2 linked regions of the Oreochromis niloticus genome follow. The protein of the gene in region 1 purifies or fractionates together with the protein of each later gene. This does not show direct contact. Links are inferred from orthologs where the notes say so. Each region holds a gene or a part of one and is shown on either strand. Other genes may lie near its edges.

Evidence for each region. Proteins that work in one complex are often made in the same cells at the same time.
Region 2: the proteins of eif4a1a (region 1) and eif3ba purify together in Homo sapiens (affinity purification with mass spectrometry; 4 studies listed by BioGRID and IntAct, counting the BioPlex papers as one, with this or other methods). This does not show direct contact. The link is inferred for Oreochromis niloticus from reciprocal best matches to the Homo sapiens genes EIF4A1 and EIF3B.

Annotation. Positions count from the first base shown.
Region 1 is NC_031967.2:1,649,013-1,657,015, forward strand, and holds the start of eif4a1a (eukaryotic translation initiation factor 4A1A), read left to right. Parts: upstream 1-4,989; 5' UTR 4,990-5,107; coding exon 5,108-5,130; intron 5,131-6,300; coding exon 6,301-6,343; intron 6,344-6,449; coding exon 6,450-6,582; intron 6,583-6,687; coding exon 6,688-6,827; intron 6,828-6,934; coding exon 6,935-7,103; intron 7,104-7,276; exon of another isoform or gene 7,277-7,417; intron 7,418-7,569; coding exon 7,570-7,679; intron 7,680-7,784; coding exon 7,785-7,928; intron 7,929-8,003. Other genes in the region: senp3b (sentrin-specific protease 3b), read left to right, coding at 128-211, 338-388, 1,395-1,505. UniProt on the Homo sapiens protein: ATP-dependent RNA helicase which is a subunit of the eIF4F complex involved in cap recognition and is required for mRNA binding to ribosome.
Region 2 is NC_031971.2:13,426,088-13,433,707, forward strand, and holds the start of eif3ba (eukaryotic translation initiation factor 3, subunit Ba), read right to left. Parts: upstream 3,013-7,620; 5' UTR 2,974-3,012; coding exon 2,874-2,973; intron 1,867-2,873; coding exon 1,674-1,866; intron 1,549-1,673; coding exon 1,429-1,548; intron 1,339-1,428; coding exon 1,281-1,338; intron 1,101-1,280; coding exon 972-1,100; intron 857-971; coding exon 699-856; intron 444-698; coding exon 312-443; intron 211-311; coding exon 144-210; intron 50-143; coding exon 3-49; intron 1-2. Other genes in the region: integrator complex assembly factor BRAT1, read left to right, coding at 3,515-3,641, 4,314-4,462, 4,558-4,705, 4,935-5,391, 5,714-5,821, 5,965-6,056, 6,143-6,246, 6,628-6,814 and 1 more.

The DNA.
Region 1 (8,003 bases):
GGCTGTCACACATATAGTCTATTCAAGAAGTCCATTCATTGTCATCCATGAATATACTGCTCAAAGTCAGAATCTCTGTTTTTGGAAATTGCTGCAGTGTCTTTGAATGTGTTCATTTTGATTCCAGCACATTTACAAATACCTGCAAGCTGAAGCCATCAAAAAAGACCAGCAAGACTTCCTGACAGGATGGACCGGCTTTTTCAAAATGGTAAAAGGATTTTTCTTTATACCACTTAACAAAGCTCTGGTGAGACTTTAAGTAAAAATGATACGAGAAGCAGACTTTAGTTGAATTGGTACCATTGCTAATGCTAATGTATTTGTAATGTTGCAGAATGTGGGCCGCCAGAACAATGACAGTGACTGTGGGGCTTTTGTGTTACAGGTGAGTTTTCTGCATTGTGCATATAAATGAGGGCTGGGTGATATGAAGAAAATCTAATGCCGCCACATTTTTGGGGGCTGTATCGTGATACACGATATATATTGATACATCTTGAGCAGCAAAGGGGGTGGGCTGCAGTTTAAGTTTTTTATGTAAATATCGACATGTGTGGTATCCAATGAAACTTTCAAGTCTCAGCCACAAGCTCATAGAAACCATTTCTGCAAACAGCCAAAACAACAATTAAAAGAGCAGTTACGTCACTTTGCGAAATGTGCCTAAACACAAACAACGAAGCCAAACACTCACTCGGCTTCATGTAAGCAAACGTCACATTGTCTAACAGCAGAGGTTTCATCACTCTCTTACCAAAATGAACTGAGCCAGCAGCAGAAGGCGGCCACGAATATGCTTCAGGAACGATAAACAATAACATGGACTCTGTTTCTCTCAACAATAGCCGTCATAGCTCAAATCACAGCTGGTGTATTTAACGTTTCCCTTGGTGTGTGGGGAGATGCTGACATGCCGAGTTCGTTCGTGTTGTTCGACATCCTCCTCGTGAAATCCAAACGACAGCGACTCTGAAACTCCCACTGTCGCCATATTATTCCCCATCTGGTAGCATATAAACACGCATGCTCAGCGCAGTGTGGCGGGTAGAAAATTTTCCAGCTAGGAGGGGGGATTGATGATGCATTTGCAGCGTGCGGGAACCTACACTCGATGGTTACGATAAAAGCATTTTAACCATCGTACGTGGACAAACTTGCGATACATTGAATATACTCGATATATCACCCAGCCCTAATATAAACACGAACTCCTGTTGTTGAGAGCTAGCCGTGGACAGTTTGGATTAGCCTCAGTTTCACTTCTTTATAGCATTTATGAGGGGAACACATGTACCTACTGCATAGATGGTAACTGCCACACATCAGGTTGTTTTAAATGTGTTTCAGTATCTGAATCTAACCCTGACCCTTCCTTTTCTGCTATCCTGCAGTACTGCAAGTGTCTGGCACTCGGGCAGCAGTTCAGCTTTGGGCAGCAGGACATGCCCCGCCTCAGAAGACAGATGTACAAAGAACTGTGTCACTGCAAGCTTATGGTGTGACCCTTACTTTCCATCCTTTGTGGCCAGCTACACCTGCTCCGTCCCTGAAATCTAACAGGATGGAGGGACAGTGTTAAAACAAGAGGAAAATGGGAGCAAGTGACTGGGGGAAAATAAACATTACAAACCTAACTTTTTCTCTTCCACCATGCAGAGAAATTCTTCTAGATGCGAACATTGTTTGACTTTATTTTTTCTGGTTTTGCTTCCCTCGGTTTGTTTGAAAAACACTGATTTAAATATCATGTCATAGTTCTTTGTGGTTGTGAGAGGCCAAGACTAGCCATCTTATTTTGGGGATGGGCTAGTTATCCGTGTAAAGATAGTCCACTAGTTTTCTGGTCGGAGAGGGAGCACTGAGGTACGGAAAAGCCTGCGTCCAGGAAGTATGAAAGGAAGTCCCACAGTGGAGTTTGTGTTTAGAGGGCTGCAGTGACTTTTCCATCCAGCCAGTCATTACTTGACATCTTTGCAAAATGAAACGTACCCCATGCTGTGGCCACCAATATGGACGAGCTGTTCAGCACAAAATGTTTTCCAGTGTATTACAGTGTGAAACTTCCATGTACAATATTTGTAATCCTTTCCTGCAGCCTGCTCAGCTGGAGTTCAGTGGGAATGCATGGTTATGTTTGCAGGTAAAACTTTTTTCTGGTGAATCTCAGGGAAAGTTGGATTTCTGCAGCATCCATGAATCCCACCTCATACTGGCCCACACAATAGAGACTTTCCCCCCTCGATCGCTTTCAAGTCATAAACCTTCAACAGTTTGTGGGAGATTGAACTGAAATGGCTCAAAGAAGTATATTTACAATGCATTTAATTTTTTAACGTGTTTTATCTCTGTCAGTAATTGTGGTAATATGTTTGGGTTTCATAAAAAAAATCAAGAAAAAAGACTTTCTTTTTTTTGTTGTTGTTATTATTATTTTTTCATTTAGAGATCTTCTGGTTAGTATTTCTTTGAAAAAGCCATTTTGTTGAGGACCACAAATACACAACAGGCATAATATGTCCACAGTGGAGATACAGTGCTCTCTTATTCTTTTTATAACAAAAGAAAATTTGTGAATAGTTGTTTTTGGCTTTGCTTTTTTTTTTCCCAAGAAGGAGCTGATGCAAGAGAGCTGTTTTATATATCTTCTACAATACGTTATGACTGCTAAAAATAAAAATATGTGGCAAACGTGTGTGTGTGTGTGTGTAAGTTTTGACTCGTCCAGATCATAGTAATGGAAGGACTACTTTCAGTTTCTTGAAGACGTTTCGTCTGAGAGTCAGTCCCACATTTTTAAGCCCTATTGTCCTTAAGAGGGCTGTTGACCCTCTATTGATTCTCTGCATAATCACATGAGCCAAGGTGTGAAAACGGGTCAGCCAAGGTTTCGGGTGAACCCATTGTGAGACCTTGCCCCCCATCATGTGACTTACTGAGGTCAAAAGGCCCAGGATGTGAGTTAAGGCGTCCGGGAAGGATCTCAAAGCTCGATCGTAGATGGCAGACGGTGTCGGTGTTCAAAGAGGGTCGTTCACTCCTCTTTCAAACCTTTGTCCAAAATGTGGACATTGGCATTCTTGAAAGAGTGTGTTTAACAGCCACACAGATACAGACAGCTATGCAGTCTCCACTGCGATGCACTGTTCCATATCAGCTTTTCTTCCCACTGTTTCTCCCTTGGACCACTGCAAACAGGGAACACCCCACAAGCTCTGCAGGTGTAATTTAGTCCTAGTCAAACTTTCAAGTCTCAAACAGCTTGTGGGAGATTGAATTGAAATGACCTGTTGGCTCAAATAACTATATTTACATTGCATTTCATTTTTTCCTGTGTCTCTGTTAGTAATTGTGGTAATATGTTTGGGTTTCATAAAAAAGTAAAGTAAAAAGAGGATCTCTGTTTTGTTTTTGTTAAGAGGTCTTCTTAGATCATTTCTTCAGCTCGTCACATTGTGGTTTGTTCCTCGTAATAGTGATCTCAGTTCTGAACAAGGTTCTTACTGCGCTGTGGCTGCACCAAACCAGACTCTCCCCAATGCTGTTTCCTTTCTCCGGAGAAGCTGGGGTGCACTGCTGACGGTCTTGAACATGCCGCTAAACTCTACTAACTGCATAAGTCTTTGCACAGTTGGATATTATAGGATATAATGCAGTCCTATATTGATTGCATCATCCACAAAGTACAAAGGGGGCCTTACAGTGACTACTATCAGGATGTGGTGGGTGAGGGGTCTGAATGCGTCCCTCATTAACCTGCAGTATCAGGTTTTCAGCCAGCTCTTTGTTTGCAGAGGGGATGGTTGCAGACCCTTTCACACTGATACCTGCTGTAATGGGCGCTTCGATCACTGCCACAACACCTTTTCACAGTCCCTTTCTAACGGCTGTTAAAGTGAAGAAAGCCTCTGCAGTATTTTCCTGAGTGATAGGTGTCGACACTCAGACAATACATAAGCACCGATATAAGAGAACAAGCCAAAACCAAAACCCAAGTGCTTTTTTTTTTGCAGTCCACATGATGTGAAGTCAAAATCGGCCCCATACAGAAAAGCAGTTCATATCTGATGAGAGAATCCACCAAGAAAATGCATCGATCTGTGTAGAAAGTGGGTGAAATTTTGCTCACAAAGAAATTAGCAGGCTAGTTGTTTATGGTAGTTTAATTTTAATGGAGAGAGACAGAATATTAGATCCAGAAATAAAAAACACATTAAACGAAAGTAATAAAACCTAATTTCAGAGCAAATATCTGAATGATTCTCAGCACATGTAGAGACTAGAAACGGTCATGGTAGTTCTTCATATACATGATAAGACATGGCACTTAGAAAGAGAGAAGTTCTAAACCAGGTACAGATGCCACATTATTGTCACTGGGACAATGTTCAGTTTAATTTCATGGTGTCATTTTGTGGTTATGGTTTGTTTCACATGTTTCTCTAAAGCCTTAAAAAGTACTATTATATAAATGTGTTTTTCAAGCTTTATTTATTTATTTATTTACATTTATGGAACTAACCTACTGCACTCTCATCAGATTTTTCCATCATCCAGATTCAGTAAAAAAATTGAGATAATCAACAGAAATAGTTATTTTTAACCCTAACTCTTTCCCGTGATAGAGTATGAATACATTTAAAGAGCAGTGTGTTGAGTGATCCATGCATATTACGCACAAGACTCATCTCTGATAGGCTGTAAATACTCAACGTGATGCTGGAACATTAAGACATTACATGACCCAATTAAAAAATTGCATTTATTTTTTATTCGGCGCTTGTAAATGTCTGAGGAAAGCAGCGGGGACACACCTGGGCAGGCGGACTGAAGAAACCCGGTTGCGTCACCAACGGATTCCGTAAAAACTGAAACCCCGCCTCTTTGGCTAAAGAACTCGGGCACGAGCGTGAATTACGAGCATACTGTAAACGAAACGGTCCGCCCCATGGGTCTGCTTACTTTTACATGACGTAGAGCTCGTCCAATCGCAAATGCCTGTGGGCGGGACCACAGCTAAGTGACGGTGAGCTTTTACAATGAGAAAGCCTCTTTGTGCGCATAACCTATATAAGAGATTTCTGCTGCGGATTCTTTCTTTGAAATAATGTCGGCTGAATATGATAACAGGTAAGGAAGGCTACTTTTGGTCGCATAAATTGTGAGTTCTAGGGCTTATTTTCACTTTCAATCCGTCATATTTTTACTCGATGTTCTCAAGAATGCACATTTTTAACGGAGTTTTGTAGTCGAGTAACATTCGAGGACTTTTTGTCTTAGATGAACATTAGGACTCTTCGCGTTTCAGGAGACGAGTGTGAAATAAGATTTAATGTTTTAGATCGTTAAAGTCATGCTAGTCAGAAGTTATATTAGTCTTAATGCTTCAGATGTGAATACTGACTGCGGTCGTTATCGGCATCCGGCGACAGCACGTGAACAAGCCTGGTGTAGGCCTTTAAAAATTCTTCCTCTTTTCATTTGTAGTAACTTGATATTGAAGCCAAAAGATCGGAACTACGACACTTTCGGGTGTAATACACCTGATTGACCTTATTTTGTCTGTAAAGGTGGATTAATGCTGTTTCGTGGTGTTCGGTGGAGTCACATGGTCTTAGTACGGATGGTCGGCGTTTTGAACAAAGGCCGCTTTAAGGCCGCTGAAAATGGACGTTTTTCCGCTTACACGCGCTGCATGTGGTGGAGCTGTACGCTGCCTTCACAAAGCGCTGTGCCTTACGCGTTTAAATGAACAATTGCTTTCGCCGACTTTGTCAGTTACAGACTAGCAGGCCCTGTTGCTAATGGCTAATGCGGAGCAGGCCTCGGCGGCAAGCCGCGAGGCTTCTTCTACCGCTTTCCTCTTAGCATCGCGGTTAACTCTAAACGATCCGTTCGCTTTGAACACAAAGATGTCGGAGTTTGTCGACTAGTCGGCCACATTCGACGTGGCGGCGTTTCCTCTGTAAAGCGTCCTCCCGCCCCTGACTCTTCCTCCCCTGAATGGAGAAACGACCATCTTGATTGTATGTAGCAAAAATGGCGGCCTCTCCACAAGGCCTCGCGTCACAGCACAAGGGGCGAAGGCTTCTTTTTTCACGCCAAGTTTGGGAAGAATGATATAACGTGGAGCCTGGTAATGATTATATCAGCACGTATACTTAAAGGGGGATATTTTTGTGCTACAGAAGATTTTATTTTTATTATCATTATTCGTGGGCAGAGGGGATTTAGTTCATTATGGTCATTTACAAGTGTAGCTGGAAAGCAATGATAACCGTGAGTTTCTGTCATTCACAGAGACAATGGCCCTGAAGGCATGGAGCCAGATGGGATCATTGAGGTAAGTGTCTCATATGAAACTCCCACAAACACTGATGTTCTTTTCACAGCAGTAGGTTCAGAATGTAGTTAACTGACCTATGTGGGACTCTTTCTAACCTTTCCAGAGCAATTGGAACCAGATTGTGGATAGTTTTGATGAGATGAATCTACGGGAGACCCTGCTCAGGGGAATTTATGCCTATGGTTTTGAGAAACCTTCAGCTATCCAGCAAAGGGCCATTATGCCTTGTATCAAGGGTAAGAGTGCTTTCAATATGTGATACTGTCTGTTTCTAATACTACTTAGCAGTTAACATTTCCAAGAATTCCCTGGATACTAAATTGCACATGTTTTAATTTCAGGTTACGATGTGATTGCTCAGGCCCAATCTGGCACTGGGAAGACTGCCACCTTTGCCATTTCCATCCTTCAGCAGATTGATGTGGAGCTGAAAGGCACTCAGGCTCTGGTCTTGGCTCCCACCAGGGAGTTGGCTCAGCAGGTTGGCTTCCACACAGCCTCTCCCAACACTTGTGACATATTGTGCAATAGCATCTCTCATATAGCCTTTTGCATGGCTTAATGTCTGGTCTTTGACTCAATCTCCAGATTCAGAAAGTGGTCCTTGCCCTGGGTGACTACATGGGCGCCAGCTGCTATGCCTGCATTGGAGGGACCAACATCCGCAGTGAGGTCCAGAAACTGCAGGCTGAAGCCCCACACATCGTGGTGGGAACTCCCGGCCGCGTCTTTGACATGCTAACTCGCAAAAACCTTTGTAAGTCTTCGTGAGAGGGAGTTAAATCCTACTTTGTTTGAAATTTTGTTACTATAAGGAAAGAACATTAGTCTCTTTGGTCACTATGATCACCTCAGAGGTCAGTTATCGCTTTCACCCCACATTGTAGTCTTCCTTCCTGTGTCTGTTCCTGCTTGTATATGATAAGTGCTGTATAATGATGAAACCCATGCGTGTCAGCTGACACTGTACGTCCCTGCTGTGGTGTCGCTTTGGTCGGCGTTCTGCTGGCTCGAGCTTTCATGACAGCAGGGTCCCAGAGGCATGATCATACGTTCATTACTTCTGAATACGGCACCTTTACACCCGAAGACACTTCATTACTGAAACCTCATTAGTGGCACGTGATTCCTAAACACAGTTCCATTGTATCTGTGTGCAAACATGGATTTAACTGAATGTGTTATGTGCCCATATGATGTGTAACATGTTCCTTTTTTTGCAGCTTCTAAATACATCAAAATGTTTGTGTTGGACGAGGCTGATGAGATGCTTAGTCGAGGATTCAAGGATCAGATCTACGAGATCTTCCAGAAGCTGTCGAGCAACATCCAGGTTGGAGAACACTCGTGTCAGCGCTGTAACGGCCGAGTCAAAGGTCCTGGCTTGAAGTATGGAAAGGGCCTGTAGCTGACAGATATCTCTGTAAATCTCTTTAAGGTTGTCCTACTGTCTGCCACCATGCCAGCCGATGTTTTGGAGGTCACAAAGAAGTTTATGCGTGAGCCTATCAGAATCCTCGTGAAGAAGGAGGAGCTGACACTTGAGGGCATCCGCCAGTTTTACATCAATGTGGAAAAAGAGGTGAAAAACATGCACTCGTTTTCCCTGTGATCAGGGTGTTTATGCTGAGCTTGCTGTGCTAACGGTCTGACCTGG
Region 2 (7,620 bases), on another chromosome or scaffold:
ACTTTATCCCAGTAATCTTGAGACTCTTCTTGTCCAGCAAGCCCATAGACTACAAGAAGAAAAAAACAAAACAAAATATAAACCTTTAATATCATTTGAACATTTCATTTAAACGCATCTAGACTGTTTTCAGGCCTACTTACCGGAGTTTCATAGATACTCAGTGTGTCTGGTGTCATCCTTGCAAAGAACTTCCCATCATGGCTCCATCTGATAACAAACATGTAAAATTAGAAGACACATCCAAACTCTGCAAGAAGCAGCAAATTTGATTTAAATTAGATTTAAAAGAGAGAAAGCATAATACGGACTTAAAAATAGGCCAATGTGCAGAACTCTCGCAGTGGAACCCTCTCTTCTTCTGTCCGGTCAGAATGTCCCAGATGATGATGGCCTGTGGGTCCTCCTTGGTGTCCATCAGTGGACTGAAGGTCACCACATACCTGGAAGCCAGCACAACCACACATTAAGCTCAGACTGTGGCTCACAGGCCAACTCGGCACCTCTTTAGAGTGCTTTATCTGCACATTAATCATCCTTTGCTGTCCCCATGTCATGGTGCAACAACCCATAGGATTTAGGTGACGTTGCCTTATTTACAGGAAATAAATAAATCACTAATGAATAAACACTTGAACGGGATACTCTATAATATAACTATAATGTGCTTCTTTGGATTAAAGTCGACTTTTGATTACCTTTCACATGGTGAGAAGTCGATGAGGGACACACCCTGATGGCTGAACCTCTGAATCTGTTTGAACTTCTCGCCGCCCCACAGTGCAATTCCCCGCTGGTGGAACGTAGCCAGGTAGGTACCTTTAGGAGACCATCGGACGTACGTCTCTGTCCAGCGCTGCATCAAAGCAGGAAAAACATCAGAACTCTCCAAACCAGTGACTACTGACCAGTCATGTTTGATACGAGCCCTGCATTTCCCACCAACTCTGCGTGAGTAATTAAAAACTCACCGCTCTCTCTTCAACTGTGATTGGCTCTTTAGCGTCGTTGGAGAAAATGGCAGTCCTCTCTCCAGCTTCATAAATCACACTGTACTGGTCACGGCAATCTGGGTCCTCGATCCAATGGCGCATATTCCCCTGAAAACACAAACAGAGTTATTGTCGCTTGCACGGTTTCAGGATAGAGACTGTCCTGTCGATTTATGAAGGTCAACTTAATAATGAAAGTGCTGACATGAAGCTATTTTTGCCAAACTAATTCTAAGTGTTATAAACTGATTCATTATATTATGACTGAAAAGTTAAGGTAACACTTACAAAGTCTTTGAAAGGCTGCTTTGCTGGAGCTTCCCATTCATCGCTGATGTTCATGTATCTGAGAAAAACAAAGGTACGATTATTTACTTGTATTCCAAGTCTGGCAAGCAATACCTGGACAATGCATTGAGTGGTACTGCATACTCACTTGTCAAAGTCAGTGAAGAGGTTGACCCTAAACGTGTGCTGCTTGTCGAGTTTATATCCATCTGCGTTCTTGACTGCTTCGAGGGCTTGAGTAGGAGAAGCATACTCCAGGAAGATGTAACTGTAAACGAGGAGAAAAAACAATTACTAAAAAACAAAACAAAAACTCTGCTTCAAATCCGGAAATCCACCTTGAATCAAAATAGATGCACAAAAGAACATAGAAGAAAACAACTGCGGTCATACCCTTTGGTCATACCATCCGCCTCTGGGTAAAACTCAGTCGTGATCTTGCCAAACTTGGAGAAGATCTTGTGTATGACGTTCTTGAGCTTTTCCAAACGCTCCGGGCCGACCTGAGGGACGTTGTCCACCACCACCACCGAGTCTATGCCGTCTGCCTCCTGGGGTTTCTCCCTCAGGATGTCATCAAGAAGCTCTGAAAAGTGAAGGAGGAGGGTCAGGGTGATGAACAAGCTGATAGGACTGTGTGGGGTTGGGGTTCTCATCTCATTTTAATGTCGACCTTCTTTTCATATACATGAACCAATCTAAACTTTATAGCCACCACTTCAGTTACTGGAAGGGAAGACTGCATCGTTGAAACAAACAATTCTTTTGTTTAAATTTTCTTTAGAGATGTGCAGGTTTAAGCTTCATGATTTATAAGTAGACAAAATATAATTACATCATAATAAAGTTAATTCAATAGTACATCTCCTTTACACTCACTGCTTAATACACATCATTTTGATAAGGATAAAGAACCGCTATGCTGGCGTGTTTAGCTTCACAGAAGCTATTTCATTTGTGTCCTTGTTTAACTTCAGCAAATTAATATTAAATGGTACCAATTTTGTTGTAAATTTACCCCAAGGTTTCTACTATACATAAATAATTATATTGTGACTACTAAGTACAAAACACGTGTATCTGATGAGTCATTTTACCACAACTGCAAAACTTGCACAATTGAAAAGCTCTAATGAGCAAACGCCCCTCAGACCTGGGTTAGGATTACCATTGAGCTACAACCAGCTGCCCCATTTAAACTACTTTATATAAGCAAACAGCACAGAGAAAATAATGTGCCCTAACGGCTTTACTAGCTAAAATCCTGTTTCGGTTTTTCAGATCGTATCGCACAGGCCCCAGTGAGTGGCTGTGTGGGGTCTGGGTGAGGCTTTAACGGGCGTTAAGTACACTGTGATAACGTTATGTTGGGAGTTTTTTGGAGAAAAAGGGTGGTGTCGCTGTTGTATTCCTGGTAATTACGCTTATGCATCCAGCTCATGGTCACTGTTCACTATTTACTATTACTACGTGCCGGTGACCAGAGAGGCTAGCTAACTAGCTTTGTAGCATCTAAAACATCCCCACCATTGAGCTCTTAGCTAACTGCTAACAGCAGGCCGGAAAGCCGGCGTTTTTCCTGTGACTACTTACCGTCGTCATCCACATCGTCCACGTAGTCCTCCGGGTCGCTGAAGGAAGGCTCCTCCTCTTCATACTCGGGGTCGTCCACCATATCCACCGTTTCTTTCATTTAACAGAACTACAACACGGACTTTTGTCTACAGCGGAGCAAAAATCCCGAAAACGAAAAGGCTGGCGATCCTCAGCCGGTGCAGCACCATGTGCGGATCCGTGAAAATGGACGACGTGACGGAAACGCGACACCGGAACCTCCTCAAAGGCGCGTGAAAAGGCTGCGCAGAAGCAGTAAAGCTGTAAAGCATAGGGACCGGAAGTACAACAGCTACTGGTGGTAATTTTCCCCCACAGTGATGTTTAGAGATCAGCGAAGAGCGCAGCGGCGTGAGACCCGCCCAGAAGCACGGAAAAGGAAACGACGCACCGGTAGATCCGAAACTGTTTCCCGCGAGACGTTCGTTTAGTAAAGTACAAAAAACAACGACTTTGTGTGTTTAAAGTGGCTGCTTCAGTTTGGTCTGTACTGCATAATTTAGCTAGAGGTCACATTTACATCCACATGAGTGGTTAGATAATGTGTAGACTTTATATAACTCCTAGCTGTAAAAACCTAAGCTAGCAACGGCGGTTATTAACACGCACACCTTAGCCCCATGGACAGAGAGTGTGTGTCACTGCTGCCCCGGGTCTGTGAGGTGCTGGCGGCCTCAGGGAGCTCGCTGCCCGATGACACCATTCTGGAGAAACTGCTGGACTGGTTCACAGCGCTCACCGAGGCTGGTTAGTAGTACTGACCCTAACAGGATCGTGTCTTTATTCTTCCTCCTCTCCCACTATCTTTCTAATAGGAGGATCAATTCAAATATTATATTGTTAAAAGTATCGATACCATCTAATCGATACTTTATTTCTATATTCTAAGTTCAGTGTGTAACCCTCTGACCTGGGTTGAATAACAAATATTTTGTAAATGAAACAAACATGTGATGACTGTCTTTTTTGTGTTGACTGTCACTTCTGCTTGATTTAAAGCCTATAGCATATTTGAACGACACAAGCTGAGACAGAGACAAGCACATTTACATTCCAGTTCTCCGAAAAAAAACCAGCTTCAAAATACATGAAAAGCTGAAAGGTGTGTTTTAAAGAGCCCTCATTCTCCAGAGAACTGATCTAAACTTAATACCATGCAGCGAATCACTGTATTTGTAGGTGATTATTACTCAGATTATATCACCGATATTTGCAGATAACATTTACATTTTGTAAAAGATCCCAAAACTCAAAGATACTTATATATATGTTATATTGCATTAATAAAGATAAATTTAAATTTAAAATGTTCCTTTTTCATGTCTTTTGTACCTTTATCATTTCTCTTTATGGTGCACATAAAAAAGTGATCCCGTGTAAATCTGTATCCTTGTTTTTCTTTTCTTTCACTCTTTGAAGGGGAGTCTCTGCTGGAGGCCTGTCCGTGTCTGCTTGAGTTCATATCTGCTGTGATTCATGACACGGCTTCAGCCCCAGGTGTCCTCTCCTTCACTCTCAGACTCATCGGCTTATTGGCTGCTGCTGAGGACGCCTTCAGAATTCTTAAGGTAGAGCTTCTGACGCCTGGTGTATTTAGTAAACTGTTACAAAATATTCCAATGCTTATCTGCCCTATCATTGTGCCTCCCTCTCTCTCTTGCAGGAGTCCTTAGTTCTGGATCTTGTCTTTAGCTGTAAGCACTGGCAGGAGTTAGGGCTCTGGGAGGATCCCTGCATACGGATTGGCTGGATCCAGGGCTTAAGGACCACACTGCAGCATCCAAATGGTCTTAGTTTCTTTATACAAGCAGGTGAGTTTTTTGCATCGATTCATGAGGGGGGGATCATTAGTATTAAGGATAATATGCTATTTCTATTCGTCCTTTCATTTGTTTGCTCCTGCATATCAAATTCAGGGTCACTGGGGGCTGGATCATTCCCAGCTGCCATAGGGCGAGAGGCACTGTGCTATAGGTATTATATTGTTGTAATTCTGATGCATCCTCATATATATGTATTATATTTGTTTGGTTTTTTTAGATTTCATTGAGCCACTTCTGCAACTCCAGACAGACACAAGCCTATTTGTTGCCTCAGCTGCCAATCAAATGCTCGCCCACGTCCTGCTCTTCTGTCAGCCTGTCTCATCTGTAGGATGTAATGGCACCGATAAGAAGGAAGATGAGCAGAACACACGTGCGTCCAAAGCAGTTGTAGAAAACCCAGCCGAGCCCATGGAAATAAACCAAGATTGCACCGCTGTTGTCGATGCAATCTCAGAGTACCTCAAGAGGGCGCTGGGGGTTCCCAAGGGAAGCACACAGCTTCATCAGTGTCAGCAGACTCTCAGACTGCTGGCTCTGCTCCTGGGCCAGACCAAGCCTCCTCTGCGGGACAAGCTGCTGCAGACAGTCACAGCTTCTCTGGAAGAAATGGTGGCAGCAGATTGTTGTGAACTCACACTGCCTCTGATGGATGTCATTCTAGCTGCATGCAGGTAAACCCCTCATAAAACACAGGAGAGTGTCGCTTTATAGAGTTGTCTGTCCTTTTTTGTCTCTACTAGAGATTATTTGGATTTTAAGTAGTGACTTTAAGAGGAAGGTGAGGACAGTGGAGCTTCCTGGCTGAATATGCAAATCTGCTAATAGATATAGCATCGATGGCTTTGTTCTATTGATCTATGCAATACCACAGGACAGTGTAATGGTCAGCCATCATCCACAGCATTTACCTAGTGGTTGTTTTTAAGTATACATTAGTGACTGTGCTGCTGTTCAGGTTTAGTTTATAGACTCTTGCTGTGCTTGCTTCTGCAGCCGCCTCCCAGACCAACGCATCACCCGTCTTTTAACTTTCATGTTGAACGCCAGGAAACCTGCTGACCTCGTCCATGCTGCAGCTGCTTTTCTCCGCGGCGGCCATCAGTAAGCACAGCTTCTTCAGCCAACACAAACTCTGTACACGAACGTCTGTAGAGGTTGGGTTTTCTGTTAAAAACCCATGGGGATTTGTCATTATAGTATCTGTCTACAAAATATTGTTCCTTTTCTTCTGGTTTTATGTGCAGTGACCGTGTCCACACAGCTCAGTCTGTGAGATTACTGCTGCTACCCCTCGACATCATATCTGGCCAGAACCTACTAGGCACAAACACTGCAGGTGACCCACAAAGACGTACACTCTTGAGAAAAATCTGTGTTATCTTGCATTTATGCTATGGAGTAACATGAGATCTGGGCCTGTAGGAGACATGCATCGGTTTGCCATGACTGAGCAGCTGAAGAGCAAAACCTCCTGCATCTCCATGATCAGTGTGTGTCTAACAAACACACCTCAGATCGCACACATGGTGAGTGTAAGGACAGGAGAGAGTGGCTAAGTAAATATTGGATCTTTTTCAGTTAACACTTTATAATTTTTAATTCCTCTGTAATAAAATAGACTTTTTAGGGTATTTTATTTGTAATTACAATGTAATTATATTTACATACACACAATTAAAGCCAGGCACACTAGAATAAGGGGATAACATGTATAATAATAATTCTTTCCTGTACTGTACACTTGTGTACCTAGCATTAAGTAGCTGTATGTAAACATAATTACATTGTAATTTCTGATAAAATCTGAATGATAGAAGTAACAAGCCCTCAGTCGCAGGCCGTGTTATAAGGTGTTAGCTTTTTTTTCTAACACATGGAAAGGCTTATAATCTCCCTCTCTCCCACAGGATCCTGACTGCCTCCCCTGCGCTCCGGATTTAATCGTGTCTGGAATTCTGTCGTTACTGAGGATCTGCAGTGGCGACTCGTTCTCCTCGTCCGCTGGCTGTAGTGAAGTTTTCAGGAATGTCATTGGCAGTGGGAAAGTTCAGAAATGTGCTCTAGAGGCTCTGACAGCTGTCAGTAACAGCCCAGGTAAAGCTGTCATTAGAGTTAGAATCCATATTACATGAATGAAACTAAAAGGGAATACTGAAAACAAACAAGTTTCTTTATGGAGGATATAAAGACCTTCAGTGCATGTATTAAAAGTAAAGTGATGAGTTTTTCATCTGTAAGATACTTCTACAAAAGTAGTATATGGCATATGTAGGAAAACCAAATGTTAAAGGAACACGCTGAGTTAATTTATGTTTCTGTTTGTGTTTCAGGAGCGAATGGCAAGCTGACTGACGTGTTCACACTCCTGATACAGTATCTGGACAATCCTGATTCTGATCCCACTGTAAGTTTGTGTGTGTTTTTGTTCACAGATGTAAGATGATCACAACTATCAGAGATTTGTACAGCTGCTTTGATTCACACCTAAACTGGCTGTAGGTGTGAATTAAAATGTGTGTCTGTTTCTCTGTGTTTGCTCTAATATGGATGCGCCCTGGCTCTCATCCCATTACACTGGGTTGGGTCAATATCCTGACGTGTGTAAGATCTAGCTTAGAGTTACATTTCTAGTTCGTTGTAAAGGTGATGGATGTGGTTAAAGTTGGAGTTAGTCAAGTTTTTCCATAGCGCACAAAGCCAGGTCCTGTCGCCTGCTATAGCAGGGAATATCTCTCCCCAGACTGTGGTCGTAACACACTGTTGTCTTAAAGTATCACTGTATGTTGAAGGACTGTCACTGCTTTCATTATTTGGAACTAAGAATCCCAAACCATCCAGCAGATGGCGTCAGTAACCTGAATATCTCAACCTGTTTTTACACTGGTCAAAGTTAAATTTCT